Rattus norvegicus: one gene and its partners. The protein of the gene in region 4 purifies or fractionates together with the protein of the main gene of each other region. This does not show direct contact. Links are inferred from orthologs where the notes say so. Each region holds a gene or a part of one and is shown on either strand. Other genes may lie near its edges. The genes, in order: Ppp1r3f, Cdc27, Lzts3, Dyrk1a, Anapc4, Kiaa0232 and Troap.

Region 1 (4,680 bases), on a different chromosome or scaffold from region 4:
ACTGGGGATCAGTACAGTCCACTTCTGTACATCTCAATAAAACCTGAAGCATACATAACAGGTACAAGGGGACAAAGGGAAGAACTAAGAGCACCAACAGTGAAACGTGGGATTTGTTTTTAAAGTAGCAGCCCTAACACTGCGTCCCTGCTTGCTATTTACTACCTGAGTGACTCTGAGCAAGCTGGAGCACCTCTCCAAGCTCCCCATTTCCCATTAACTAGGACTCACTCTAGCGCCTGCAACCAACAGCACATTCAGCTGGCCTCAAGAGGAGAATGTCCCTACCACTCCTACAGGAGAGCAGGAAATGCTGACCACCAGACCTTTTACGGCTACAATTATGCCTCAGTTACCTTGCCTACGGGTGCTGCGTCCAATTCAACCACACAATGGGAAAACCATTCCTCTCTGAGAAATGAGAAAACTGAGACAAGACCAGACAACAAAGCTGAGTTTGGGAAAGGAATACATACAAAGACTATGCGTGAGCATCTAAACATTAACGATCATTGACACCACTATAGCACAAGGTTTATGGCACAACTCTGAACTAGGCTCAACATAGTGCTTTTACTCATCCTGTGCAGCACTTCCATAATTGCCTGTTTTACAGAAGAGGATAGTTACTGACAGCATGATGCGGTTAAGAATTGGATACGGTCACACTAGAAAGTGGCAGGCTTGGGGTTTGAACCCAGGTAATCTAATAGGAGAATCCAAGTTCTTAATGCTTCAAGGTCCATCCACTAAGAGCTAAACCTTTCAGAACTACTCACAGTCTAAGCCCTAAGCACAACCAGCAGGTCCCATAGCACCCTGCTCCATCATGCAGCTTCCAAGGGCCAAAAGAGCAACCTCCCACTCCCATTTCTCATAGGAACAGGAAGATGTATGCACTTCGGAGGGAATCTAACTGACCCCGGGCATCAAGCCTGGCTGTTGCCCTTGACAAACTTATAGCCCTGGTAAAGACCTAGAAAAGCATTATTTCAGTCTCCTGGGTTATAAATGGTCTTTCTCCCAGCCCCTCAAGTTTATAAGAGGTGTGCAAATTTTAAAAAGAGAGATGAGCTTCAAGTCCACTTCTCATCTGTTCCAGCCTCCGCCAAAACTAATGTTTTATGTGAGAATATAGCCTCACTCCTTAAACTCCGCAGGAGGCCTCTCTGACCACCAGAGGAACAGTAAAAAGGTGTGCACAGACTTCAAGACCAGAAATGGTTGTAACTAAAAAGCCAAGTACCACCACTTCCTCAACCAGCTTCTCTACCTCTGTAACTCTGGCTTCCTGCTGGGTCAGATAGGAATCAGATTCCACTCCCCACACCGGGACCCTTAGTCCACACCATCGCACCCGCATGTTCTCTCCACTCCAGCACACTGGCTGACATTCACACCGAATCCATAACCAGGTCAGGACCTCGGAACTTGCTGTTCCCACTACCTACATCTTCCTTCCATGTATGCGCACCACTGCTCCGTACCCCTCTGGACTCAAGTTTAAATGCCACCTCAGAAAGCGTCCTACCTGGTCCAAATTCTACCAACTCGCTCTTCCATAACTCTTCCTTATCACCGTCTGGGACTCTTCACGAGAGCTCACCCTCAACACGTCTACAGCAGCCACTCCCTCCAGAGCCTTACAGTATTTTCCTCTCAGCACTAACCTTAGCCCTATTTATCTTATCTGCTTGTTTGCTTTTGCATTCTGTTTCCCAGAGGAGCCTTGCGGGATGGTTGGGGACAGGGAAGGTGTCTGTCTTGTTCAGGGCCTTATAGTGGAACTCACTAAATGGATGATACCCCAGTATTTAAAACAGTGCCTAGCACATGTTTGGTCTCCACTACTCTTTGACCGACTGCACCCTCCTGCCTGTTCTGGAGAGCAGGCCTGGGGGAGGGGGGACTTCTGGGATGGGAGGCTTGTCCTCCATTCTACATCCAGCCCTGTGTTGGTGGAGGTGGCGCTGGCAGACATTACCTGCGCCTCACCGGCTTCATGCAGCTCTTCAGCTGCCTGGCCTCAGCCTCCACAGGACCCTGGCACTCAGGCTGTGGCTCCAGCTGCTGCAGCTGCTGCTGCTGGGGCAGCCCTTCAGCATCAGTGGGTGTGGGAGCGGGTGCGATCCGGAGCAGGACAGTGTAGTTGCGGCCATGGTTGTTGGCCCAGAAAGTGCCCTCGGGGGTCTCATAGCGCACCACGAAGTCAAGGCGCGCCCCATCGCCCGCACCCTCAGCAAAGGGCAGCTGGAAGGCAAAGCGGTCAGTGCGGCCACCGTCGTCGGGTGAGGAGGCAGACACCTGGCCAGGGCCCAGGCCTAGACCCGGATCCAGGAGGGGATCTCCTGCTCCTGTTCCTCCCACTCCTGCCCCAGGCGGGCTGCGTGGGACATAGCGCGCTGGGTGGTCGCAGAAGGTAGCCCAGCCGTCGTGTGAGGCCCGCACGTGCACCGCCTTCTCGAAGGAGCGGTTCAGCACGCGCACCAACCCGCGCACTACTGGCGGGCGCCCCCCAGGCACCCACACCCCGGAACCCCCGGGAACCGCTCCAGGAGGCGGCAGCAGCGCCTCCAACTCCACCATCACGCGCCCCAACCGCTCCAGACGGCCCGGCGCGGGCGGCAACGAAAATGTGGGCACCAGATAAAACCCCCCGCCAGCGGGAACGGGGCACAGCGGAGAGGGATCGGGAAAAGCCTCCTCTTCCTCCTCCCCTTCATCCCCATCCTCGCCATCATCATCCTCATCAGCCCCGCCACCGCCGCCATCTTGCCCGGTCGCCGCCGCCATCTTGCCCGCCCCGGGCCCGCCCCACGGCCGGTAGCGGCGTAGCTGCGCCAGAGGCAGCCCCAGGGCCTCGTCAGCGAACAGCACCCTCCGCGGGGCCACCGCCGCCTCAGTTGAGGCGCGGGGCTCTCCCGCAACCGGCGACGGGGGCGCGGGATGCCGCAGCGGTGGCTCCACAGGGGCCGTGCGCGCCATATCGGCGGCGGCGGCGGCGGCGGCGGCGGCGGCACCGACGGCACCGGCGGTGGGACCGGCGGGGGCAGGGCCTGAAAAGGCGGGCAGCCAATGAAAACGCCAGGACGGGGGGGTGGGGCTCCAGTGGAGCGTAGGCGGTGAGATAAAGACAGGTACAGCCAACAACCAATGGACAGCCACGCGGGAGTGACGTAAGGTGACTGACAAGCAGGAGAAGCTAGCAACCAATGAAGACGCCCGAGCGTGGGCGGTGTGGGAGGCGGGATGATCACGGAATCAATGGAGAGGCCTGAGTGGGGTTAATGCGGGACCGAAGATGTAGCTAGCAGAAGTATGACAGTTAGTAGGAAAGTCTGAGTACGAGCGGCACGGTGGGCAGTGGGAAGATGAAATGGCTACAGGCGATGGGGGCAGCGGGGAGCGAACCCAGAGGTCCAAAAACTGGGAGATCCGCAGGTTGTGTAGGCGGTGAGACGTAAGAAAGATAAAAAGAACAGCCAATGGAGAACTGCACGCGAATGATGTAGAGACAGAGTGACGATAATGGTTGCAACGAGCCAATGGGGAGTCCTGTGAGCGCACACTATGGCTTCAAGAGGCGGTAACAGGGTGGATCTAGCCAATACAGAGACTGAACAGAGTCTGGAAGGCAGTGTGTGAGCAGACACGGAGGCGGGGCTGTAGCGGGGGTGGGGGGAGCACTAGGGCATGTGAGGAGTGAAGGTGGGAGTGAGAAAGAGATGGAGAGCCAGGGTGAAGGCTGTGATATCTCAAGGGACAGTGCCAGTATAGGATTAACCAAAGCCGAAGCTAGACAAATGTAGCCAAAAGGATACTGTGGAGGCAAGATAGGAAAGCAAGCCCAAAGATGGTAGTGTAGGTGCTGCGAAGGAAAGCATGAGTAGCCAATAAATAGGTTAAAGTAGAAGAAGGTGCATAGGCTGAGCCTAAGCCTGAGTGATTGAGCACAGAATCAAAATTCAGTCAAACAATAAGATCGGGCCTTTGGGGGGATGGATTGACCTTTCCCTATTCTTCCATGACTCCCCATGGCCCCACGAATTCCCAGAGTCCCTAAAAACCCAGACTGCGCGGTTGTTGTGAGACCAAAGCAAAACAGTTCTCCTATCAGTTACTGGGTGTGTCCCGTCGGCCCCACACCACCACACACACCTCCCAGCCTTTTCGTGGCCAGTGTAACTAGCCAAGAACATTCTTGACTGTCCCTTAAAGTCCCGAGTTGAGCATTGAGATTCTTCAGGACTTGGCACCACTGCATGAATCGATCACAAAATAGAAAATAGAACCCTTTTTTGAAGAACTAGCTTTTTCTAACTCACACTTAGCACACATTTACTCTGACAGTATGTCATCACCAGTTGATCAGCTAATGTAAGTTCAAATCAGAGTCCTCCCCTTCTTGCTCATTTTGACACTTTTCACCCCACAGTGGCTTTCTTTCTCCCCCCTCCCTACCTCCTCTGATCAGAGTGCTGTCCCATCTATCTCTTTCATCTAGTGAATTCTTTTCATTCCTCATCTAAGGTCGCACCTCCTGTGGGAATGGCATAGATTTTGTCAGCATGTTCATTCACACATTCCCCACTCCTGTTTATTAACTTATTAGGACTTACTGACTGCTAAATGCCAGGTTCAGGGAAGGTTCTTATCTAACCCTCATAACCCCCCCTAACA
Region 2 (3,976 bases), on a different chromosome or scaffold from region 4:
TTCTAGAGATTACTAGTAATTACTTAATAATTATCGATACAGTTATCCATTGGTCTCTGCAGATGCCCCAATCAATCTCCTGGTCATGCTATTTTAATAGCTTTCTGGCCTTGAGACTCCATTCATAGTCTATTTTTTCATGAGTTTGTTTGATAGTTCTGGTATGTTTGATAGTTTGATACGTATCCTTTGTGAAGTGTTATTGTATACGTATATAATACACTTTTAATAATCTTGACAACATTATTTCCCAATGACAGGTTTCAGAAATGAGGACTGGAAATGCTGCCATAAGCACACCATACACATACATCTGGAGGGATTCACTGCTATCTGTAGATGCACAGCCATAAAGACTGGATCTTTAATACACATATACACTAATTGATACATATTTAAAAAGCTTTAATATTTTCCTCTGCTTAATTTTACTTTGAGAAAGATCATCACATATCATAGGCTTTGACTTTTAACTCCTGGCTGAGGAACTTCTGACCTTCCTGCTTCTACCTCCCAAGTGGTAAAATTTCATGCATTTGAAACCTTGCCCAGTTTACAGAGTGCTGAGAATCAAGCCTGATCTTTGTGCATGCTCTACAAGCATTCTACCAACTGAGCTACATTCTCACCCTTTTAATATTTAATTCAAAAATGTTATAGATGTATTTTTTTTACTTCATTTTTTTGAAAACAGAACGCCAATCTGTCACACTGATTTGAGAGGATGCTGTTTAAATTAACTTACATTACTAGTAATAGGGTTCACCAAAGATCATTAATATATTAGAATACACTTTAAAATATCTTGTGTGACTTACCTTGGGGTTAATGGGCTAAGAGCAGTTGGTCCTCCTAATAAACTTCGACCAGTTTTTGGTTTATTTTGAACCTGTTTAGATAATATGGAAGGACCAGTTCCAAGGGGGACGTTATCTGGTGAAATTACAGCTGAATCAATGTAAGACACGGAGGAATCTGTATTCAAGGAGTACTTTGAATTGGAAGATTCTAAGTTCAGTCTGTTTAATTCCTGAAACAGAAATTTTCTACCATGTCACTTATGATACACTGCTAAGGCCCAATCACCCTTGCGGGTGTTCAGAATACTTGAGCATCAGAAGGAAAGCACTTACAATCGTGTCTTGGGGAGTTTCTGTAAGGACTGTCTCAGGCTGTCTGTGAGATAAACTGTGGTTAGATACTAGAGCTGTACACGTGTTGGGAAGACAACTGCTAAAATTCTGTAGAGATGTTAATTTAAATGTTTGGTCAGGATCTGGCTTCTCACCTGTGAAGACCAAAAGACAAAACAAAACAAAAAACTTGCCTCTGAGGGGTAATTTCTTTTCAAGTATACATAATTAGGTACAAATAAAGCCTTGGAGTTTCAAAATTCTCCTGCCCACTTATGTTATCAATCTTACCTCCCAAACGCCCAATCATTAACTTATTGTGGAAGTTAACCCTTACATTAAAGATTACATTTGGGAAATAAACTAAATTACAAGTTTTAAATATCATAACTCAGGGCCAGCATGAAGGTACAGCGGGGAAGGTGTCTGCTGCCCAACCTGAAAACCTCTGCATGAAGTAAGATGCGTTTTGAGATAGGGTTGCCTGCAAACTCCCCTAGTGGTGAAGCTGAATGCGGCTGAAGCTGGCAGTAAACTTAGATCTTGCTGCCAGAAGGCAGTGGCAAACACCTTTAGTCCTGGCCCTTGGAAGGCAGGGGCAGATGATCTCTGTGAGCTCAAGGTCAGACTGGTCTACAGAGTTCCAGAGAAAACCCGAACTCAAAAAATACAATATAAAACAAACAGAAAGGAGAGAGAGAGAGAGAGAGAGAGAGAGAGAGAGAGAGAGAGAGAGAGAGAGAGAGAGAGAAATAGAAAAGGGGAAGAGGAAGAAGACCGCTCCCGCCACCGTCTCCATGAGCTTACCTATTTCACATAACGATTCAAAGGGAGACCAGAGGAAAGGATTTAAACTAAGGCTCTTTTGGTAACATTCTGATCCTTTGGCAAGCCGATCTGTCTTGCTGTGGAGAGAAACAATGGATTAAATAAACTATAAGCCCTAAAGCTTTTCTTATAATTTTTGATATAAAAAACCAGGTAAATCTTATAAAAATTCTCACAGCACTCTTTGATGCGTCCCTAAATTATAATTTTCTAGAAGCAATAGAAGTCATAAATAACAAATCAATCCATGGGTATTAACACCAATTAATTAATATTAATCCAAGGTTAAGGAAAAGAAAAATACAGGGGCTGTGGCACAAGCACAAGGACCTGAGTTCGAACCTCAGCATCCATGCCAAAAAAAAAAAGCTGAGTGTGACCATAAATGAGTGTGACCTCTGTGCTATGGGAGGTGGAGACAGGAGGATGGATGCGATCTGGTGACTGCCAGGCTCAGTGAGTGAGTGAGTGAGTGAGTGGAGAAGGAGAGAGGGAGAGAGAGAAAGGCAGAGACAGAGACAGAGACTGGACCCTGATTAAAAGAAGGTAGAATGACGTAGAAAGATCAACCTCTCCCCTGGCCTTACTGCAAACATGCAACGCACAGAAAATACATTCACTAAAGAAATATTAAAGGGAAAAATCCAATGAAATCTCAATGTTTGAGGATTGATCTAAACTCCTGTGATTAGCCTTCCTATATTTGCTTTTGGCAATTCCAAAATATACATATTTTTCTATCTAATCTAATTATACTTTAAAAGAATTTCTACATTTTTCCTTAAGATTTTTATTTTTTCAACCTCCTTCCCCCATCACTCCCTGTAAATCATTTATTGCCCTCAAACATCTACTTTTTTTGAGAAGCCACCATATAAGAAAAAAATGACTCTTTTTGCTGTCAACTCTCCTCTAGGTGCGTTCTGTTACTACTCCTTCCCGCCCAGCATGGAGGACGGAACACAGGCTGCTGCCTTTATTCTTAACCAGTTAAAACTAGCATTCCCTCACCTGATCAAAATACTGCCCAAACCTTATTACAATACCTTTTGACAATAATAAAAATTTTAACTACTGTTTCTTCCTTCTCCATCACAAAATATGGTGGGGGCTGTGAGTTAGTCCCTTTAATATTCCCAGGACCAAGTCCTTACCGTCTTTAGGTATAATGGGAGAAGAACCTCAAGCATCCCTCGAATGAATGACAACAATAATCATAGCTGGACGACAGCACCCAGCTTCATTTCTTTCTTTTTTTTTTTTTTTTTTTTGAGACAGGTTTTCTCTGTGTAGCCTTAGCTGTCTTAGAACTCAAAGATTCATCTGTTTCTGCCTCCCAAGTGCTGGGACGAAAGGCGTACACCATTTTTCAACTCATTCTATCTTTCTTTATTCTAGTTCACAACTGTGGCATGAATGATTTGACATCACCTGAAAACCCCCTATTTAACCAGATAATTTATTCTACACAAAAAGTCATATGTATCCCTGAATGGCCCAGAGCTCACCACAAATACCAAGCTGGCCTTAAACTCTGCCTCCTGCGTGCTGAGATTAAAGGGATACACCACCATACCTGGCTACTTTTTTTTTTTTTCTTTTCTTTTTTTCGGGGCTGGGAATTGAACCCAGGACCTTGCACTTCCTAGGCAAGCGCTCTACCACTGAGCCAAATCCCCAACCCCCCCTTTTTTTTTTTTTAACAGCAGTTCTTTTTCTTTCTTTCTTTGTAGGCTTTAATCCCTTTTTTCATAATATATAACAGATGGCATTTATTACATGCAAAAAATCCCGATGGGCAGTTTTGAATATTTTCTATTTTTCTACTCAACTTCAAACGTATTTTTTTTTTCTATTCTTTTTTTCGGAGCTGGGGACCGAACTCAGGGCCTTGCACTTGCTAGGCAAGCGCTCTACCACTGAGCCAAATCCCCAACCCCTTCAAACGTATTTTTTAAAACAGGAGTGAGAACCATGTTACTATTATATAGTAATTCTGAGTTCATGGATGTTAA
Region 3 (4,756 bases), on a different chromosome or scaffold from region 4:
GCAGCCTGGTCCACTTGAGGGGGATCGCTGGAGCCCAGAAGTTTGATGCAACAATGAGAACCAGATGAGATTCCATCTCAAAAAAGAAAAAGAAAGGGGTTGGGGATTTAGCTCAGTGGTAGAGCGCTTGCTTAGCAAACGCAAGGCCCTGGGTTCGGTCCCCAGCTCCGAAAAAAAGAAAAAGAAAAAAAAAGAAAAAGAAAGAAAGAAAGAAAGAAAGAAAGAAAGAAAGAACAAAAACAAAGTGAGAAGGAGGAGGGAAGGAAGGAAGGGAGAAAGGAAGGAAGGAAAAGAACACAAGGATAGTTTCCAGTGCTGAAAAGAAATATTGCAGAAGGTAAAAGTGGAGTTGAAGAACATGGCCTGAATTTAGCAGCTGAGAACATCATTGATGTCTATATCAAAATGGTTTCAGAAAAGCCGTGTAAAGCAAAAGCAGATGGAGCAAAGGGATAACAAGGCGCTGGGAAGAGACAGCAGAGGCCTCTGTTAAAAGAGGACGGAGGAAGCCTTCACTGAAGAAAGTTTGGAATCAAAGGCCTTCCTTTTTTTTTTATTTTTTTATTTTAAAAGTAACCCTGAAAGCTGGATGTGGTGGCGTGCAGGCAAAGATGGATCAAGAGTTCGAAACCCACCTTGAGTGTAAACTGAGTTGGAATCCAGGATAGGCTGCATGAGATTGTGCCTCCAAAAACATACAGAGAAACATAGAATAACTAATCAACAGGCTGGAGAGATGGCTTGATAAGACTGCCTGCTGCAAGAGCATGGTTACCTGAGTCTGAATCCCCAGAAGCCACCTAAGAAGCCAGTTATGCTAGGGTCTGTAGCCACAGCGCTATGAAGGGCAGAGACCGGAGGACCTCAGAGAGTTGCCTGCTGCCAGCCAAGCTCTAGGTTCAGTGAGAGACTCTCAAGGGGATGAAGCAGAGAGAGCTTGAGCAGGGCGCCCCGATCCCTCTCTGTGTGCACACACATACATTTCACCAAAAAACAAACAGCATTTTGATAGGAATTAAAAACTAGATAGAAACACTGAAGGCCGGCACCCCCAGTGAGGCAAGGCAGACGCTAGCAAAGGAGCTGCACCAGAGGCTGAGGCGGAAGGAACAGCCTCAGGAGAGAGCATGCTAGCTGAGTGACAGGGGTAGCATGGTGAGTGTTTGGGGAGATCTCTATAAACTGCAACGTGCACAGTCTTTCTGAGCTCCAAGGAGTGAGCATCAGAGTTGGGAGGTGGTCATTCTGCTTCACACTCCCTCTACAGGGGCTCCTTCTCAGATTCTTAGGGTCCTAGACATTGCCCTGAGCCTCCCTTCTCAGGCTCTACGTGAGGATGGCTTTGTAGTAAACCCACAGGCAATTCCCATAGAGTTCCTTGCCATAGTTCTAAACTGTCATACTCAACACCTTATAACTGCTCCCTGCCCCTTGCCTCTTCCAACCCTGGGATCCTGCAAATTCTTTTCTCAAAACCCTGGTAGAGTGGGAAGGACAAGGAGTGGAGTACATTCCCTGGCAAATAGGAACTGAGGGGAGAGGAAGGGCTGAGCTCCCTCTGTAGGACAGTCTCCTCATGGACTGGCCTAGGTAGCTGTGATCTGCAAGGGCATCACTCTGGGATGATAACCTGTTGCCTGAGCCTGCCTCTGCTTCTGTTCTGTCAACCCTCAGTGCCTGTGACATTACAATATTAGTAGTCAAAGGGACCAAATGGACTCTGGCTAAACCCTTCCGTGAGCAGGTTGAGTGCCTTAGAATTAGTGCAGCATCATCTCCAGGTGTAAATCACAGCGCAGCTATGGAACCTCATGCAGACTGTTCCACCTCAGACTCTCACACCTACCTGACAGCGATTTTAAGGAGGAAACGGATTATGTGTAAAACGCCTGGCATTCTTTCTGGCACCCACAGTCAAGTAGAGCTTGTCTCTGAGGCCTTTCTTGATATTCATCCTGTATTTCTCCTGAAAACGGCTCTTCGCTCCACACATGGCCTCTTCTCAGCTCTCTGCCCAACCTATATTCTTCTGGAACCAGTCCAAATACCCCTCAGCATAGCATCCTTGATACCCAAGGGGTCTTGGAGCACTTAGCTCCGGATGCCCCAGGGAGATTTCACTGTGAGGCTTCTCCACTGGAAGTCTGTGTTACCCCAGGGCGCAAACGATATCTTTAGCGGGTCTCTGGACCCTGGCATTAAGAAAATGCAAGGCCAATGCTTGTGGGAATGTTGGTTATGACCATGTAAATAGGAAATGAATTCAGACATAGAGACAAGGAAAAGCTTCCAGGAAGGATTAAGGGAAAGGATTCAGGGAGCAGAACTTCTTGGTTGGGATGTGTGAGGAGAGATTCATCTTCCCTTGGAAACGTGGGCACCTGCAGGGGAAGAGGCCCATCCCCTAGATCCTGACTCTGATGAAGCCAGTGCTTCAGTGCTGAAGGTACCGACAGCACACCCCCACCCACCCGCTCACACAGGAGCCTGCCTCAGCTGTGCATGTGTGTGTCGGAGTCGGGGTTGGGGGGGGGGTCGCTATTCACTAATACATAAACCCCAGCCACAAATTCTCTGCAAAGGTGTCACAGAGGTCTCTGCGGTTGGAGAAATTCCACCCATACCTCCTTCGGTTCTCCACCAACGCGCGTGGCCCCCGGGGGGGGGCGGGGTGCAGAGAGAAGAGGTGACATAATCCGGGCCGCACCCCCTCCGGCCGCCACCTCCCCCCCACCCCCTGCGCCGGTTGAAGCGTCCATGACATCATCGGCCTCATCCCCCAGCTCCCGGTACCCTAGCAGCGGGACGCGCCCCCTCCCCAGCTTCCCACCCGCCAGAAGCAGAAAGCGCTGCAACGGACATGGTGACCAGAGGAAGAACCTAGAGGGGCACCCCGGCAGGCCTGTATCACTTACTCACTGCCTCAGAGTCCGGCGCAGAAGCTCAGACACCGGCGCTAGCTGTCCCGCTCTCTGGCGCAGCCCGAAGCCCGCCCCACAGGGCGCGCAGCGCGGCCCGGCTCTGCTCTTGGCCCCTCCCGCCCCGCGCCCGGCCCGCCCACCAGCGGCTGCGGCAAACGCGGGCCCGCCCTCCGGCCACGCCCCCGGGACCCGCCAATCCTGGACGTGGGTGGGACTCGGTGCCTTAACCCCTTTGGTCGCTGAGCGCTGGCCCGCCTGCCCAGCAGGCTGGGTAGCAGACACTCGGCCTCAGTCCCCGTTAACCACAGTACCAAATTCTTAGGGTCAGCCCCCAATTTCTGTCCTCCAACAAACCCAACAAGTCCCTACTCTCTTTGAACTCCATATCTGAATGTATGAGCCCTGTGGTTTACGGACAACCCGGCTTGGACTCTAGATTCAACTCCTGCACCAGCTATTCCCGGTGCAGCAGACTTCCTAATTCCTTCAAATCTGGAGCTGGACAGATGGCTCAGTGGTCAAGAGCACTGGCTGTTCTTCCACAGAACCCGGGTTTAATTCGCAGCATCCATATGCTGACTAGTTCCGAAGGATCCGACATCTTCTGCCCTCCACGGGTGCTGCACAAATATATGGTCCAAACAACCATAAACGGAATTAAAAAAAAAAATTAAGGGGGAAAATAAAGCAAAAAACCCTGAAGAGTCTTCAAACCTACAAGATGTGGGAGTGTGAAGGCACCTTTAGCTATGATCTCGCTGGAAGCAAGAGCCAATAAATTGACCAATTTAAAACTTGTCGCTACAGGAAATTTGTACTTTATACCTTGTGCCCCATGCCTGCTGTAAAACTAACAATCCCCACCCCAGAAAGAGATTGGGTTAAAGACTTCATCTTGACTCAGATCCACACCTTGGCAAGTGCATGTGGCATGCACTACAGGGGTTGCCAACCATCCAGAAAAACTTCCTGAAGGAAGCAGTCAGTCTTCAACTGTGACCTTGGTCTGATCAGTTTGAGAGAGCAAGGTAGGCCCACGCTTCAGCCTTAGCAAATGGCTGGCGGTTTTTTTTTTTTTTTCTTTTTTCTTTTCTTTTTTTTTCGGAGTTGGGGACTGAACCCAGGGCCTTGCACTTGTTAAGCAAGCGCTCTATCACTGAGCTAAATCCCCAACCCCAGCTGGCGGTTTTAATACCTGAAGAGTTTAGCCTTCCTATGACATAGGATAGATTTTCAATTTTTTTTTTTTTGCTTTTTTCCACAACTGTTTTTATTTTCTGTAGTGATTTTAATAAATTCTGTTTCCAGTTCTAATGATTGCCTTTAAATGTATTAAGTAAATGCCTTTAATCCCAGAACTTGAAAGGCAGAGGCAGGATCTCTGAGATGGAGGTCAGCCTGGTCTACAGATTGAGTTCCAGGATAGCCAGGGTTACACAGAGAAATACTGTCTCAAAAAACAAAAACCAAACCAACCAACCAAACAACCCCCCCCAAAAAAAACCAACCAAAGAATCCAAATGAAGTATATTAAATAAACTAAGAACTTATTTTGACAAATCATTTATATATTCTAGAAATCTGTGAACGGAGTGTCATGGAACTTGTGGTGATCACCCTGGTTTGTGGCCACCATATCACAAGATAAATTCCTTTCCTTAAGTCAGAGAGGTAATGTGTCAGCCTTGCTTTAAACAGGTAAGTCCAGCTTTGCTACTCTTTTAAGTGAGAAGAGAGAATGGGATATGGGAAGAATCCTCGAGACATTTTCTTTCTCCTCTTCCTCTTCTTTTCTGAGGCAGGTCTCTCCACAGAGCCCTGGCTGTATGGGACCT
Region 4 (3,842 bases):
AGCTTGTTACCTAACTAAAAAAGGATCCTGTAACAAAAAGGCAGTTAGTTCTCTGTTCCCACTCAGTGTCCAGAATCACATTAGTGTCTACCTAAGTTTCTTACCTTCTGGAGGTCGCTCAACAGACCCTGTGCAGACTAACTGAGAAGAGAAGGCTGTGGGTTAGAAACTGCCTGAGCGTGCATGGCAGGGGTTCCAGGCTGTGTACAGCAAAGTGACTACTGTGTCCCCCAGGGAACAGAGTTAGGGAGGCAGCATTCAGCTCTGTCCTTCACCCTAACAGGCCAGAGCCTCAGGAGAAGTGCAGGGTTCCCACATGCTCTCAACACGGAGACAGTACCACATGGGAGCAGCAACTGAACATGATAACCACTCACGTCAAGAATCCATTTTAAAAACCAAATCATCTGTTAGACCTCCAATCTTTACTTTCAAAGACACTTGAAGCCGATGCCTCTCTGCCTCACACGGCTTTTCCCTTTACACAGGTCGCTAAATTGTGCCTGCTTGACCTAACAGACCTGAACTGCTTCACTGCACAGGAAGATTGCTTGTTTCTTTTTTACTGTTTACATTTTTTCCTTAAGTTAATTTTTAAAAAAGCATAGTAAAGACTCTGAGGACAAATTATTCAACTGTTTATCATACATAAGACCGCATGACTATAATACAAAGGGGGTCTTTTTTCATTTAACGTTACAATATACACAGCAAGTCCGGACTAGATCTTACAATCTGAACACAGGCATTTAGCCTCTCCATGCTGCTCATGTTTACAATGCACAGAAGTCCTGTAACCAAACTGTGTAGTAAAGCACACAAAACTGGACTGCAACATAACACAGTATGCAGAAGCACTGGATTCTGTGGTTTTCTTTATGTAAATATCGGTTTAAAAACTGCTTTCTTTTTTGGTGCTTGCTAAAATGTGGCAACCAGCACAGAAAGAAAAAAGAATGACCTGAGCCACGTGGTGTGGCCTGGGCTCCGCAGCCGCAGACGCTGATCCCTCCCAACAGTGCTGTGCTCAAGAGGCCTCTGTACGCAAACTCTCAGGAACTACCAAGTTCAAAACAATCCACAGGCGTGACATTTAATTACAAAATAAATATGGATTTCCTGATTAACACCCCAAGTGTCTGTGTTTATAGAAACGGGGCTCTCCGAGTCTCCACTGCACTCACAGAGCTTGGGCCTTTCTGTTGTCAAAGTTTACATTAAAAAAAAAAACCTCCTTTTGCTCAGGGAAAAAAAAAAGTGACCTAGTGAGCCACATGGAGTTAACCAATAAAAAGTAACGTGGCGTTCTGCTGAGTTGCTTCCAACAGGTTATCGGCAGAGGTAGATTACTGCTTCTCTCTAGGCTTCTTTTGATCCTGGACAGGGAAATTACTCTATCTTCATTCTCCCAATTCAACCGCCTCAGAGTATCACACCCTAAAATTGCTCAATTTAAATGTGAATACAGATTTAGCCACTGCCAGACTGTTACAGGAAGGCAGTAGTCTCCAGACACGGTGCCTCTTCGTGCCGCCTGCTCACTTCAGGTCACATTAGAGCTCTGCCTTCCTCCTGTTCCTACTGGGGACCTGCCGGGTCAGTCAAGGTCTCAAGTTCAAGTTTACAAGGAAGTTAATCAGGAAACAAGACCAACTGCTGGCTCCACAGCCTCTGGGTCCAGCATCCCTTTCCCTTCAGAAGCCTGAGCACATTCAGAATGTGACAGACAGGTGGTGTAATCTTGAATTAGATGTCAATCTATTCTGTCCAGTACACAGAGTGCTGTAAGTGGATTGGCTATGGAGTCAACAACAGTTCCAGTTTTGTTTAAGCAATAGTACAGCCATAATTTTCAACTGACATTTAAAAATGGTCTAGGTACACCTTGTGTCAAAGTGCAGAACGGCTACATTATTGGTTACAGACATCTATGTGCTATAAAAACAGCTTTGGTACAATAAATTATCAAAAAAGAAAATAAATTTTTGTAAAATTCACAGCATAATTGTGAGGCAAAAAAGCAGTCACATAAAATTCTGCATTTTAAAATGTTCAGGATGAACAGAAGACGTCTTTGTGCAGAAGAAATGGTGGAGACACCACGTGCCGAGAAAAAGCCAAAGAAAAGGTAAAAGCAGGAAGGGACACAGCTGTAGCTATTTCCGTCAAAGCAAACCACTACCTCTGTGGCCTTCAACCAAGAAGGGAGTCAGCTTTATGACACACGCAAAGTGACCTGGCAATACCTTACAATTAGTGGGTCACAAAAGTCTATTTTAAAAGAAAGGCCTCTTGAATTACCCATTCTCTGTGTTTTCAGCATTAAGGACTGTCTGCAAACGCATGTCCACAAGTGATTGCATCTGAAATGGTGGGCTCTTCTAACTCCGAGTCCAAATCCATAAGGCCAAAGGTTATCCCAAGGACCACCACTCAGACCTCCCCAGGACTGGCCACAAGCGACCGACCCGCTGATTGCTTCTCAGTGCGCCTTGGTAAGGCGAGCAGTCACGCTCCATCCCGTCGTCCTGTGGCCTCTCCGACAGGAGACCACAGGATCCCACGCAATGGCTGCTTTGCTCCTCAGTATGTTCAGACAGGAGAGTCCTGATCCCGCCACTTAGCATGCTTAGTGTGCCTTACAAACGCCAACACAATCGTCCCTTTCACACAGCTGAAGATGATGTTTGTGTGTGCTGGAGGTCCCTCTTCCTTACAGTACTGCATTTCCGTGCCCAAGTGTGTAGAGGACATAAAAACCCAAATCTCCCACCCCACCCCCAACCCAAAACGAAACAAAAGAAAACAGGGGAGAAGGGGAAAAAATAAAAATGAAAAAACCAAAACACCCTATGGGGCCCTTTATGCAAATTATGTGCAGTGCCTTTTTATTTTAAAATTAGTTGGCAAATGACCAAGACCAACAGCTGAACATTAACTTTTGTTGGATAGAAAGACAAAACCCACTGTGACCGGGAGATGGAAGTTAAATGGGGGAGGCAGAAAGAGGACACTCTGAGCGCTCCATGAAGATGGGTGGACATGGCTCTTAAAAACTTCATTGTCCCTTTGCAATCTTTTCAAGTTAAAAAAAAAAGTCAGCTTTGCCCTCTCGTAGCGGTTCAGTGTGTTAATCTCCTTCTGATTCAAGCAGCTTTGCACTTTTGTTTTTGGGAAAAAAACACCACTTCTATAAAAACACACAAGAAACAAACTCAAGTTTCAATGTAGTCACGAGCTAGCTACAGGACTCTGTTGCACACAAACTCCTGTCATGGGAGACTCTTCTCTATCAGCCCCTTGCCTCATCGTCAGATGTCCTTCAGTCATGTAATGTGCAGGACCTGTATTAGCAGAAAATTGGTATGTTGGATGTCCAGCTATGCCAGTCTCTTGGCGGGGATTGGAGTAGACGGTCAAATTAACGTCCATAGCTCCATTCTGTCCAAAGTCCAAGGTGTTAGCAGCCACTGGGCGGTTCTGATAGGCCTGATTGCCTTGATTACCAGTAGAGGAGGAAGATGTCGAGGAAGAAGTTGTTGAGGAAGACAGGGATGTCATGGAGTGGTGACTGTGGCCAACCTCCATAGAATCCTGGGTAGAGGAGCTATTTGTTGGAGAATTGTAGACCCTTGGCCTGGTCCGGTTACCCAAGGCTTGCTGTCCATGGTGGTGGTGGTGGTGATGGTGGTGGTGGTGATGATGGGAACTGTTTCCATGGTGATGATGCAATGCATTCTGCTGAGGGGCTACATGAAAGGTTGTTTCTTGAACAGGATGAGTTTCAACAGTGACTTGTGTAGGAGCTTCAGTGCCTGACCAGCCCAGAGGAGCCGGAAACT
Region 5 (3,976 bases), on a different chromosome or scaffold from region 4:
AGAAGAAAACTTCAGTTAATAAGGGAAAAAGAGAAATCACTAGAATAAGTTAACAGGATTAAAGCTGGGGTTTTCTGTTGTTTGTTTTTGGGTTTTTGAGACAGGTTTTCCTTGTGTAGCCCTGGCTGTCCTAGAATTTGATCTGTAGATCAGGCTGGCCTTAAACTCAGAAATCTGCCTGCTTTTGCCTGTTAAGTTCTAGGATTGAAAGCATTTGGTACCACCACCCAATTTTAGGGTGTCTGTCAAGTTCTAATATTAAAATTTTGATAGCTCTTTAATATCAGATCACGAATAGAAAGACCCACACCTAGAATTGCTACTATAAAACTTCAAAATGTCAAGGAGTAAAACTAATATTTGACAGAAATGAAATTAAAAAAATAGACTTCAAAGCTATCAGAAAGCAAGTAACTGTCTACCAGCAATAAAAAAAACTCCTAAATGTAATGGAGCAATGCTTTGAAAGTTATAGGAGAGGGCTGGAGAGGTGGCTCAGTGGTTAAGAGCACTGACTGCTTTTCCAGAGGTCCTGAGTTCGATTCCCAGCAACCACATGGTGGCTCACAACCATCTGTAATGGGGATCCAAGGCCCTCTTCTGGTGTGCCTAAATACAGGGACAGTGTACCCACATGTATGAAATAAATAAATAAATCTTTTTTTAAAAAGAAAGTTATAGGAGAAATTATTTCTTCAGATCCTAAGTCCCACAAAACACATCAATTTTATACGAGGTTAAGAAAGAGTTGGGGAAGATTACCTTCTACATCTTTCTGAGTAAGTTACTTTAGGATATGCTCTCCTGAAAGCCCTGGTCTAATGCAGGAAAGCAAGATAGACAGTGTTTTTGCAAACAGCTGGACAGGGAAGCAAAAGTACGAAGCACAGAAGCACAGGTGCAGGGTGAAGGGACGAGCTGAGGGGCAGAGGAATGCTAGGATGGTGCACGACCTTCAGAAAGAGAAGCCAGGGAAGGGTGTGCTAGAGATGATGGACAGTGCAAGAAAACAAGAGAGTCTGAGCGGGGGGATGTGATTGCAGCATTTAAAAGGCTGAAAGTTCAGGGAATACAGGGAGTTCCTTACACGATACAACACAATGTAGTAAGACAAGGCCAACAGTGTTCAGGAAAATCAGGACAAACAAAAAAATAAAATAAAATTGGTAGGTACTAGAAATAAGCCTTTAGGAGAATAAATTAAAGGAAGTAAACAGAAAGAGACAAGGAGTAAGAATAAGGATAAAGATGGAGAGAGCAGAAAATAAAGTTTTTCGTTAAATGATCTCTGTGCTACTGACATATTCTGATAAAAAATTCCTAAGGGAATCAGGTCAACTTGGTAGGTTTTTATTTAAGGAAAAAGTAAATATTCTCATATCCACATTCTTGGTTAGCACATTACTTACTGGAGAAGTTCATTTGCTTTAAGGATGAAAGAACCCACAGCAGTAATAGCATCTAAAGAAAAAACAGACAAAAAAGTGTGACTTGAGGAAGTGAACTGTGTCTAGTGCAGTCTATGGAGAAAGTCAATCAATACCTTCAATGCTTGAAGCATCCAGTCCTAGAGGTTCATATTTCTGTTTCCATGAGGCCATCCCTTTAAGTTCACTCAAGTGATAGAGTAAAGACTCTGAGCCACTAGCAAAGGAGCAGAGATAAGAACCATTACTATCACCAAGGTGGGAGTCAACAATCACTTGCTGATTTCAGAAATAAAACCAAACAAATCTTAAGTCTTTCCACAGAAAAGAATTATTTACAAAAACTATTTCTAAGAACTAGAAGAATCATTTATTCATCCATCATGGCAACTGAGATGAAAACACAAGACTACCAGATTAGATTCTCTATCATGATCAGACCACGCACAGTGCTTGTCAAGCTCTCTACCCACCGAGCTGCACCTCTAGTCCTAATCCTGGCACTTTACCACAGGGACATTTGTTCAACAACAGACAGGTCTGTTTATAGGACAGGCTCTTACTATGTAGCCCTGACCAGCCTAGAACTATGCAAACCAGCCTGGCCTCCAGCTCATAGAAATCCAGTTGCTTCTACATCCTGAGTGCTGGGAATAAAGACATACGACACTAACCTATCCTCACAAATATTCTTAAGCTCTGACTTCATGTCAGACACCAGCTGCTGAGGACACAGTGGAAAGGTGTCCATCATGGTAAGGTCCCTGAAGCATTTAATGTAATGAGAGAGTTAGTCATAAGCAGTCGTGCACAGATGAAATGGAAGACCCTGACCTATCCCAGGAGCTCCTAAAGGCTTCTCTGAAGGAGCAAAGAGCTAAAGAACTCGAGTAAAGAGAAAGAAGGTGAGAGTGCTCCAAAAAGAAAGGAAGGTTATAGAAGTCCTTGGGTAGAGCTGGGGATGTAACTCAATAGTAGAGTTTGTTTACCAACATGCCCAAGACCCTAGATTCCATTCCCAGCATCATAATTAATAAATGAACAAATCAGAAGAAAGATATTTATTTTTAAAAAGGTGGTGGGAGAAAAAAAATTCCCTGAGTGGGAGATACAGTGTCAAGCTTGGAAAACCAAAAGGTACTTAGCATGGGTAAAGCAGAAGCAGATGTGCTCAAGGCCTTGAAAAGGTTTTGCTTTTAAGAACAAAGCAAACATACTGCACGTTTTTAAGTAACATTACACTCCGTGGGGAAGGTGAAGTAAACAGACACAAAACAGAAGGTATTCAGGGAGCTCAAGGGACTGTAGGTATTTCTAAAAACCCAGCATAAGAGTTGTTAAAATACAAAGCGAACAGTCAGCAGCCACTTACAAACTGCTTCTCCCAAGCCGCTGTGCACAGAGGCAGCAGGAGACCTGGAACACCCAGGAGCAAGCCGTGGCCTAACACTGAGGAACACTGGCCAGTCACATAACTAACTTTGGTGTGAAACGAAGATGACAAGAACAAACTGCCAAATATTAAATGAAAAAATATGTAAAGTACTAGCAGCTATGTGGCTTATTTTATAGTCAAATAGGAAACAAGCCCAAATGCTTAAAAAGTCCAGCCTGGCTAAAAGAGTTAGAAAACCATTTTCACACACACACAAAATGGTCATTACTGATTCAATCTTGGGTATGCCAAGTTCCCTGAAATGCCAATGCAAATAGCTAGAAAAGGCTTGAAAAGACAATATCAAACAGTGGAGAGAAGGAAGCAGAAATATGACCAATGCCATGAATGTATGAATGCAGTATCAAAACATTCTACATCACTTCCGTACCTCTGTAAGTGACTTATAACCAGTTTTTGTATACTGGAATATGATGACTCTATAGACTGGCCAAGCTTTTTTAAGCCCTAATTAAGAGAAGAAAATACATTTAGCATGTAACTATGATACTATATGTCATTCCCAAAAAAGAAAACTATTAAAAATATGTTCACAGCCATTTAAGCATAGAGACTTTAACAGCACCTTCACTGTTAACTGGTTCATCAGGAGAGTCTGAAGTTCAGCACTACAAGAAAAAGGAAGTGTTTTAGTAATGTCTCCATTCAAACTCTAAACGTGCCATTTAGATCCTAAATTTCAAAGTGCAAACAGGATTTTGGAACAAAATAAACATGAAGAAGTAGTATCAGTCAAAATGAGGATTGTGTTTTATCCAAAAGAGAATTGTCCCAGTAAAATCCAGAAATAAATGAACTATACACTTCTGACCACGAAGAAGGGAAGTAGTTACCTGGGTAGTTATTTACCCAAGGTATCAGAAGAAAAAGACTCTCTTGGCTACATAAAAGTTCTGGAACTTTTATATATCCAACACACACACACACACACACACACACACACACACACACACACTCATCACATTTATATGAAAAATTCAGAGAAAAATCCCAAAAAGTCACATACTTTTTTGGGGGTAGAGGTCTTCTACCGGAATTTTATACTTTATCTTTACAAAGGAAATAATTACTGTCAAGAGAAGATAGGAAGGAA
Region 6 (3,637 bases), on a different chromosome or scaffold from region 4:
TGCTCAATCTCTGCTGGGTAACAGGCCGTCAAGCTTCCGTTCTGACTGCAGGGTAGGCTAGAAGTCTGTAGCATGGCTGTGCTCCTGTGGGCACCCAGACCTAGAGAGAGTTATTACAAGATACCTATAGGCACATATGACGTTTTCCTTCACTCTTGTTCAAACACTGACTGGTTGTTTATTGCTGTTGTATATACACACATTGTGCATGTTACTGTGTACTGTGTGAGTGCAGTACATTCTAGGCATGCATTCAGAAGTCAAAGGGAGGGGTTGGGGATTTAGCTCAGTGGTAGAGCGCCTGCCTAGCAAGCACAAGGCCCTGGGCTCGGTCCCCAGCTCCGAAAAAAAGAAAAGAAAAGAAAAAAAAAAAAAAAAAAAAAAAAAAGAAGTCAAAGGGAACTTTGTAGGCCATTCTCTCTCCACCTTTCTATGGATCCTGGGGATCAAACTCGATTCAGTAAGCACCTTTCCCACTAAGCCATCCTGCTGACTTCTGAGGACAGGGCCTATTGGGGATATGGACCAGTTGGCTGCCAAGCAGGCCCTACCTACTTGCTTTCCCAGCTCTGAGAGGCTAACTGCTCACAGGAGGAGGAGGGGATCTGGCTTCCTCTTGTTCTTCTCAGTTCAGAGGAAGCTGTTTATTCACTTTAAAGGATTGCTATGATAAATAAAAACAACAAACATTTTTGAAATTTTTATTTGGTGTTAACTCCACAAGAAAACAAAACAAAACGAAACAAAAAAAAATCAGTTACTCTGGTGTACGTGAAATCAGAACAATACAACCACGGGGGAAAAAAAAAATCAGCCCAGGAATGGAGCTGATAGTTCAGTGCTACGGATATGCAACGCGCTTCATACCACAGTGCGTTTCAGCGTTTGCCAACTTTTTTTTAATGCTTTTTGTGATCATCCATTCACAAAACTAAAACCACACTTTAATTCTGTACCAAAGCCTCTGAGCTTTAGCCACTTAACTACAAAAAGAAACCAAATACAGAATCTAGTTATCCCTTTGCCTTTGATGACCCACCGTGTCCCCTGTGGAGGGCCTCTCCCCACAGCCGAAGACGTAGGTGTCTTTGCCACCTGGAGCCTTTCCTGATGAACAATGGCTGTCCAGGTCACCCAAGCTCATGGCTGAGTATGAAATCCATTTGGTCATAGCAACAATTTCTAGGGTAATCGTGATGGCATTGATTTTAGGAATTTACAATTTCAATTCTTTTTGCCTTTGATGATAGGTTATATTTCAGTGCAGATGTTAATCAAATTTTAGGAAGCTCCAGAAGAAAAAATACATAAAACTTATCTGATACCTGTAAATAAATAAGAGCAACATGAAACCTTCCACATGCACACACGCACACACAAGCCACTGTAGAGTGTCAGAAGATGTGCTGTATGAAAACAAACCCTAAGGTGGTAAGATGCCCCAGCCAGCAAGCCAGGCTCCCATGATGAGGACGCACAGGACTACAGGGCCTGCACAGTCTCCATGGTGTTTCCTGTGTTCCTGAGAAACAGGCAACAAACTCAAGTACCACCAGCAAGGCCTGAGGGGCAGCTCCACTCCCAGCTAAGAAGCCACACACATGTCCAGTGCTGCTCCACTTACTGGAGAGGCCAGTTCAACTACTTCAGACCTCTCAGCCACTCCTGATGTTCTGGACATGCTGAATCCATGTCATAGACAAGGTGTTTTTAAAAACAACAAGCTGGTTAAAAGAGAAAAATAATTTTGGATGTTTAGGTTTTGCACAATTGGCCCTACTAGCACCTGTGGCAGTGCTGCAAGAGAGATTCAAGGTGATCAGCACACTTAATGTGACTGTGAGGCCTGCTGCCTGCCTGCTTCACCAAGTCACATGAGGCGATGATCAGAACAGCAATCACACAGGTCTGTGGGAAATTCCTTTGCCCACCCCAGCCCACCGCAAGCACAACTTGCCCAGAACATTCTCTCAAACACAAAATGAGATACAAGCTATACTACATCACAGCCACAGGAGCAGCTAGCTGCAGCAGCCGAAGATTTCTTTGGGGTAAGAGGTGTCCTTACTGCACATGTCAAATGTTTTTAAGTTCACTTGGAGACTTAAGTTCAGATAATAATTTGCAAGTAAGGTCCTCAACTATGCACTGGAGGGACAGTTCAGAGAACCACATTGTGCCTGCTGTAGACACACTGCAGTAGCAGAACTCATCTATCCACTACCCCGTGCCTCGAATCCTTGGCTTCTTCAGCTAGCAAGAAAGTCATAAGCCACAGTAACTTCCATAGTACTTTAGGGGAATCCTAAGAGAAAGCACAGTATTCTGTAAGTCTCTAAAGCACACCCTTGTGTTCCTACAGCAAGGTCCATGAGATCTTCTGAATGAGCCTGCAGATGAGTCACCATGCTTCCCTCCTCCTTCAGCAAGGCCCTGACCCACTGCAGGGGAGGACTGATCTCCTGGCTCAGAGAACAGAGCTAGAGTCTCTGGACGGTGGCGGTTGTCGCCACAGTGCTGACAAGGTGATGGCGACACAGCCGCCAGAGGGAGGCCTGCAGCTGCGATGCAGAAGCGGGACGCACTAGGACAAGCACATGCACACCCATTCCTCACTGGACAGCACAGTCTAGTCTACTTCAGAGAGCAAGAACTTAACAGCTTGGAAACAAATCTTCAACAGGACAGCTGTCCTCAACGCTAAAGTAAGCAAGAAGAGAAAGGGAATCACTGGTGCGGATCAGTTAATGGAAGAGGAAGCCTAAGTTACTGCTTTAGACTAACAGGCCTCACAGCGGGCAATCTCCCGTCAGAGCATGTGCAATGACTGCTACTACTCTGCAGGGTCACAGGTGTGTTCTGGAGAAGAGGTCCTCTCTGCTGGGGCCCACCCACTCTCCGCCGGCTTCGGAGCCCGTGTCGCCCGCGTCAGAGCTGGCACTGGAACACATCTTCCCGGGGAGGCCATTTGGTTTTGTCTCAGAGCCCCTCTCTCCTGTGCATCTTGCTTCATAAACAGAAGACACCTACAATTCAAGAAACAATTTTCAATACACCAAAAATCAGACAACTCCCCCCAAAGGCTCAGTCTACTCCCAGACAGAGAAGAAGAAGCAACCACTGACATATCCTATAGAAAGCTACAAAGACGCGAAGACGCACGGTCTCAGGGAACACCTTCTCCTTTGCCTTGAAGGGTCTAATCCTAATTCTGCACATCTAGAGTCACAGGAATCTATGTGGCTACACTAGGGTAAGACAAGGGGACTCCTTAACTCTCAACAAGTCTTTTGAGTACCTGGCTCAGGGTAGCCCGTGGAACTTCACACAGGCTCTCCTGGGTAAACAGACATGGTCATGTACAGGGGCGCACGGTTCCAGCAGACAAACAAACCAAAGGACAAAGCTTCAGACTGTAGACATGAGGACACTGGCTATGGGACACTCTGAACAGGGGCAGAGCGCTCCAGAAGGTGGCACTCCTGAGCAAAGGCTGGTGCTGTGCATAGCACTGTCAGCATCACCAGGTGCAGCAGAGAGCATCTTCTTGTGTTTAAGGGAAGGCTGGCATCTGGGTCCTCAATGATACTAGATGGCAATGGTAACCCTTCTGCCAGCCACAGTAACTGGCAATATT
Region 7 (4,776 bases), on a different chromosome or scaffold from region 4:
ATTAGCGAAGGGCTCTGCCAGCACCATCTCAGTAGCTTCTCCCAGTACTGGTGCTATCCTCATTTGGCCAATGGATACGGAAGCCAAGCTACAGACAGGTTAAGGTAAGCCTGCACGGCTAGCAGTGGTAAGCGTCGGGAATTAAACTCAAAAGCTATTTACTGTAGCCAATCAAAGAGCCCTTCGTGTACCTCCAAGTTCCTCCACGTCTGAGATAAGGCCCAGCCATCAGAGTCTGAACCCCATTGCCCCACCCAGGGACATGTTTGCCCATCCCCTCTGGGGTCCAAAGGGAATCTACTCTCTCTGTACCTGCTACCGCCACAGGTCTCTCTTCTGAGCTCCTGTAAACTGGGGCGAGCGGAGGAATGAAAGGAGGAACCTGCACGTGGGTTCTGATCCAGGACAAGACAGGAGGACAGAGTCAGAAGCAGACCCCGAGCTTGACACAAACCTCACCCCATCTCTCCCAACAGCCCAGGGCTTCATCTTGAGATGTTGTCCCAAGGCCTACTCTGTTCCAGGAAGAAGCTTCTAGAAGGACTGAGAGTCAGCCCCTCAAGAGTACTCACCAGAGCCTCTGACCTCTGTGAGGAAAAAGTGCGGTCTCGGAGCCCTGGGCCCTCCAGCCTTGAGAAGCAGGAAGCCCTGGCGGGATCCGCTTGGTGGGCGCGGATTCTGGGAGCCAGGTATGCGGAAGACCGTGCACTCTGGACCGCCGACAGAGGCTATCAGCAAGACTCAGAATTTACCCCTTAGCCCACCCTAGCCTGGTCTCATATCCGTCTCATTACCTGGCCCCTCTGGATGTGGGTGCCTCCCTTTCTCTCACGCACTAGCACTCTCTGAGCCAGACTGGACCGGGACTCCAGGGGACAGCTCTTCACTCCCTCACCTGACAGGATGGTGGCCAGGGCTGCAGGGTCAGCAACAAACTCTATAGCCCCTGAGGCCTCTGAAAGGGAAGAGACAGGATTAGAGGAGACAGGAATAGAGGACACTGAGGGCTAGCAACAGTGAGCAAAAGAAACATCAGAGCCAGGATATGTGGTGCACACAGCTACAATCCCAGAATTTAGGACACTGAGGCAAGAGAACCAGGTGTTCAAGGCCAGCCGCCAGCTCATAGAGAGCCCAGAGCCATCTTGAGAGACAGAAAGAGATCATTGGGTTGAACCTAAGCTCACCAATGTTTAAAGAATTTCATGTAAGGCTTTGCTCTGGACAGTGGGGTATAAAATAAAACAAAGGTTTTGCCATACAGAGCATATCACCGGGGGCTGGAGGGAGGCCGTGAGGACTAGGAACACACCGTTACTCTTCTTGCATAGGGCTGACTGGTCTTAAGCTCTCAGCATCTATGTCAGGTGGCTGGCCTGGAACTCCAGCTCTAAGACAATCCAATGCCTGTCCTCTACGAGCATCACATACACCCACACATACACCATTAAAAATAACCTCTTCTTAGGGGCTAGAGGGATGGCTTATTGGTTAAGAGCCATTGTTCTTCTGAGAGACCTGGGTTATATTTCCGGCACCCACAGCCAATTATAGCTCACAGCCGGCTATAACTTTAGCTCCAGGGATTCTGATGTCCTCTTCTGAACTCCATGGGCACTGCATGGACTCACACAGAATAAAAATAAATCTTTAAATATAAAACTATTATTGAAAGGAAGAAGTTAAAGCTGAAGTTTGGGCAGATTATAAAGACTCAGTTTAGCTGAGCGATTGATGGTGACTGTCCTGATTGGGGTTGCTGAAAAGGCCCAGAAGATGTGACTGATGGTTGATTTTTTTTTTTTTTCTTTTGAGACAGGATATCACTGTGTAGGCCTGGAACTCACTATATAGACAAGGCCTCCGATTCACAGAGACCACCTGCCTCTGCCCCCTAAAGTGCTGGGATTAGAGGCATGAGTCACCATGCCAGGCAAAAGGTGGCACTTAGCTGTAATGGCTTCATAGAGCACAGAGCTTCCGGGACAAGGCCCAGGACTCTTACAGTATGCAAGAGACCAGAAGGCATACAAAACCCCCACTTTGTGTCTCTCATCCTTGCTCCGCCAAGTAGGCTGTCCCCCGGCCTCCAACAGGTACCTGTCTGGGGATGGGTGAGCCCCACATTTGATCCCCCAGAGCTAGGCTTGAGTTCCTCCAAAGGGTTCCGCGGCTGAGTGATCCTCAGTCTTTGTGATTTTTCTGTCTGGTGCAGGGCTTTCGATCTGAGGCCTGCCGTGTCAGTGAGGGGACGTTGAGTACGGTGCAGTGGTTTCTTCGCTGATCTCTGAGGGGAGAGGGAAAAAGTTGGGGTTCAGCGCGGAGGTGGGGGTTCAGTGCAGACGGGAGCTGCCTCCTTGTGGTTACTCTTTTCACCCATCATGCCCCTCTTACCCTTGGATCTTGGTTCTCCTGGTCCAGAGAGCCCGACTTGGCTGAGGAAAAATCCGAGCATCTTTGAGAGAGTACTGGAATTTTGCTAGGGTTGGGAGATACACCTCGGAGGTGCGGGTCCTTACTGGTTTGGAGGGTAGTCATGGCGGCTATAATTGAGACGAGAGAAAAAGGCAGACAGGACTGAGGAACGAAGCAAATCATTCTCAGGCTATGGGTGCTGATATCCCTGATTTTTCTCCCTTGGTCCTAATCCATGTGCCTAGAAGCCCACACCGGCAGCAAGGCCTCTCTCCTGGCGACTCCTCCAGAAACCCAAGACTGCTATCTCGCCCCAAACTGCTCTCCTCCCCAGGAACCTCGGCAGGACTCCCCTAAGATCCCCGTGCCGCACCATTCCAGGAGCTCCTCGGGGTCACCTCTACTTTCTCAGGTTTTTTTCGCCGATTTTCTGGATTTCTACTGCTGCTGCTGCTGCTGCTGCTGCTGCTGCTGAGGCTTCCCCGGTTTGTAAAATACGCCAAGCTTGTGATTGGCTAGTTCCCGCTGACGCGAAGGCGCGTGACGTCACACGCAGCCAACCAATCCGCAGGCTTCGAGGGCGGGGCCAGAGAGGGACAAGTCGCCGAAACGTTTTCTGGATGGGAAAACAACTGACCAGCTCTTCAGCCAATCCGAAAACGGAGCGCGAGTGGCCGGATTGGGGGACAGCCAGGGAGGATGCTGTTCTGAAGCCCGGGAAGGCGACTCTGGGCTGCAACGGGCATTACAGTACTCTCGCGAGATCAGGAGCCAGCCGAGCGAGGTCTGTCCTCTCTTGAAGGCCGCGGAATTGTGGGAAAGAATGGCCATCGAGCACACTATTGACCAGACTCTGAACGCAGTGCAAGGCCGGGTTTTGGGAAACACTTCAGGAAGCATGGGCACTTCTTAAGGGGGATGAGGAACCTGATGGGCGAGAGGGCTGGAGGTAACCGAACTGAACCCATCAAGAACGAGGAGCCAAGAAATCATTTGTCCACTCGGACCCCACAACCTGGTGGGGTGTGGTCAGACCCAGGGTGGCTGGAGTTTTGTTATTCAGAATTGAAGGGGCTCCTCGAGTGTGGGGAGATCTCTGCATCTTCAGGTTGCCTTCCACTTGTCTGGAGGGCTCACCCGCTACTCATTGGCAGATGATGGATATGAGAATAGACAAATGTCTCATTCCACCCGCGCACACACAAAAGCTCTTTCTATCCCAGACTGGCCTCAAACTCGCAGCTTCCTGCTTCAGCTTCCATTGTGCAAGGATTGCACACCCGCTGCATAGACATCCGTTTGGAGTTTAAAGGACACTGATAAGCAAGCCAGGAACAAGTGCTTCCGGATCTCCCCTTCCATACACCATCTCTTTTCACACCTACGGACTTCATATCTTAGAGCATCTACTCAGCTGTTTAGCCAGACAAAGCGTAGCACGCAAAGACAGCCAGCTTGGTCTAGAAAGCCATTGTCTTCCAAATAGTCTCCTTGCCCAACCCCTCCAGTCTTTTTATTTTAAATACATATGATTTTAGTTGAAAAATATTTAAAATTATATATATAATATATAATATTATATATTTTTTTTAATGTAGGGATGCTCTATTTGCATGTACAGCTACATGCCAGAAGAGGGCACCAGATCCCATTGCAGATGGTCTTGAGCCACCATGTGGTTGCTGGGAATTGAACTCAGGACCTCTAGAAGAGCAGCCAGTGTTCGTAACCTCTGAACCTCTGAACCGTCTCACCAGAAATAATTTTTATGCAATATATTCTGATAAACAGTTTCCTCTTCCCTCTCCACCCACACTTTCCTTAGAAAACAAACACCAGAACAGAAAAAGAAAAAAAAAGCACAAGAAACACACAAAACACAAAGCCTATAAAAACACAAAGTCGGAAACCATAATATACAAGCAAAATACCAGTTAGACAAATAATGCCAACCAAAGCCATATGAGACAAGGAGGCTACAAAAACATTGGCTACCAGTCTGGCGTGAACCTGTGGGTGCTGCCACAGCCTCTGTGAGCTCATAGGTGCATCAGTCCTGCTGTGTCTGAGAGACGATGTACTTTGGAGTCATCCAACCTCTCTGTCTCTTAACATCTTTCTGCCTTCTCTTCTGAATAGCTCCTTGAGCCCTCAGGGGAGCCCCAGTCTTTCTGTCCACAGAAATCCATTTCTTATAGTAGAGAAATTTTCTGAAATGTTGTGCCTCAGTTTTCTGCACACTAAACCTAGCATTCTGTGCCATGCCACTCTGCCCACTTGCTCTCTGTCTTCTGGGAAGGAGAATTCTCAAAAGGAAGGTGTGTCCGCAAAGGCTGGTTAAAACCTCAGTGACTGGGGTCT

Evidence for each region.
Region 1: the proteins of Dyrk1a (region 4) and Ppp1r3f purify together in Homo sapiens (affinity purification with mass spectrometry; 3 studies listed by BioGRID and IntAct, with this or other methods). This does not show direct contact. The link is inferred for Rattus norvegicus from reciprocal best matches to the Homo sapiens genes DYRK1A and PPP1R3F.
Region 2: the proteins of Dyrk1a (region 4) and Cdc27 purify together in Homo sapiens (affinity purification with mass spectrometry; 3 studies listed by BioGRID and IntAct, with this or other methods). This does not show direct contact. The link is inferred for Rattus norvegicus from reciprocal best matches to the Homo sapiens genes DYRK1A and CDC27.
Region 3: the proteins of Dyrk1a (region 4) and Lzts3 purify together in Homo sapiens (affinity purification with mass spectrometry; 3 studies listed by BioGRID and IntAct, with this or other methods). This does not show direct contact. The link is inferred for Rattus norvegicus from reciprocal best matches to the Homo sapiens genes DYRK1A and LZTS3.
Region 5: the proteins of Dyrk1a (region 4) and Anapc4 purify together in Homo sapiens (affinity purification with mass spectrometry; 3 studies listed by BioGRID and IntAct, with this or other methods). This does not show direct contact. The link is inferred for Rattus norvegicus from reciprocal best matches to the Homo sapiens genes DYRK1A and ANAPC4.
Region 6: the proteins of Dyrk1a (region 4) and Kiaa0232 purify together in Homo sapiens (affinity purification with mass spectrometry; 3 studies listed by BioGRID and IntAct, with this or other methods). This does not show direct contact. The link is inferred for Rattus norvegicus from reciprocal best matches to the Homo sapiens genes DYRK1A and KIAA0232.
Region 7: the proteins of Dyrk1a (region 4) and Troap purify together in Homo sapiens (affinity purification with mass spectrometry; 6 studies listed by BioGRID and IntAct, with this or other methods). This does not show direct contact. The link is inferred for Rattus norvegicus from reciprocal best matches to the Homo sapiens genes DYRK1A and TROAP.

The regions. Positions count from the first base shown.
Region 1 is NC_086039.1:17,599,601-17,604,280, reverse strand, and holds the start of Ppp1r3f (protein phosphatase 1 regulatory subunit 3F), read right to left. Parts: upstream 3,052-4,680; 5' UTR 2,986-3,051; coding exon 1,985-2,985; intron 1,978-1,984; exon of another isoform or gene 1,564-1,977; coding exon of another isoform or gene 1,532-1,563; intron 1-1,531.
Region 2 is NC_086028.1:89,925,608-89,929,583, forward strand, and holds part of Cdc27 (cell division cycle protein 27 homolog), read right to left. Parts: intron 2,039-3,976; coding exon 1,941-2,038; intron 1,289-1,940; coding exon 1,134-1,288; intron 1,031-1,133; coding exon 819-1,030; intron 1-818. UniProt on the Homo sapiens protein: Component of the anaphase promoting complex/cyclosome (APC/C), a cell cycle-regulated E3 ubiquitin ligase that controls progression through mitosis and the G1 phase of the cell cycle.
Region 3 is NC_086021.1:138,310,573-138,315,328, forward strand, and holds the start of Lzts3 (leucine zipper putative tumor suppressor 3), read right to left. Parts: upstream 3,040-4,756; 5' UTR 2,916-3,039; intron 2,702-2,915; exon of another isoform or gene 1,897-2,701; coding exon of another isoform or gene 1,847-1,896; intron 1-1,846. UniProt on the Homo sapiens protein: May be involved in promoting the maturation of dendritic spines, probably via regulating SIPA1L1 levels at the postsynaptic density of synapses.
Region 4 is NC_086029.1:47,475,807-47,479,648, reverse strand, and holds the end of Dyrk1a (dual specificity tyrosine-phosphorylation-regulated kinase 1A), read right to left. Parts: coding exon 3,232-3,842; 3' UTR 616-3,231; downstream 1-615. UniProt on the Homo sapiens protein: Dual-specificity kinase which possesses both serine/threonine and tyrosine kinase activities. Exhibits a substrate preference for proline at position P+1 and arginine at position P-3.
Region 5 is NC_086032.1:62,353,285-62,357,260, forward strand, and holds part of Anapc4 (anaphase-promoting complex subunit 4), read right to left. Parts: intron 3,492-3,976; coding exon 3,449-3,491; intron 3,331-3,448; coding exon 3,254-3,330; intron 1,645-3,253; coding exon 1,544-1,644; intron 1,462-1,543; coding exon 1,410-1,461; intron 1-1,409. UniProt on the Homo sapiens protein: Component of the anaphase promoting complex/cyclosome (APC/C), a cell cycle-regulated E3 ubiquitin ligase that controls progression through mitosis and the G1 phase of the cell cycle.
Region 6 is NC_086032.1:78,381,063-78,384,699, reverse strand, and holds the end of Kiaa0232 (uncharacterized protein KIAA0232 homolog), read right to left. Parts: intron 3,027-3,637; coding exon 2,847-3,026; 3' UTR 695-2,846; downstream 1-694.
Region 7 is NC_086025.1:132,111,599-132,116,374, reverse strand, and holds the start of Troap (tastin), read right to left. Parts: upstream 2,888-4,776; 5' UTR 2,789-2,887; intron 2,544-2,788; 5' UTR 2,539-2,543; coding exon 2,395-2,538; intron 2,288-2,394; coding exon 2,101-2,287; intron 956-2,100; coding exon 795-955; intron 711-794; coding exon 573-710; intron 490-572; exon of another isoform or gene 396-489; coding exon 313-395; intron 1-312. UniProt on the Homo sapiens protein: Could be involved with bystin and trophinin in a cell adhesion molecule complex that mediates an initial attachment of the blastocyst to uterine epithelial cells at the time of the embryo implantation.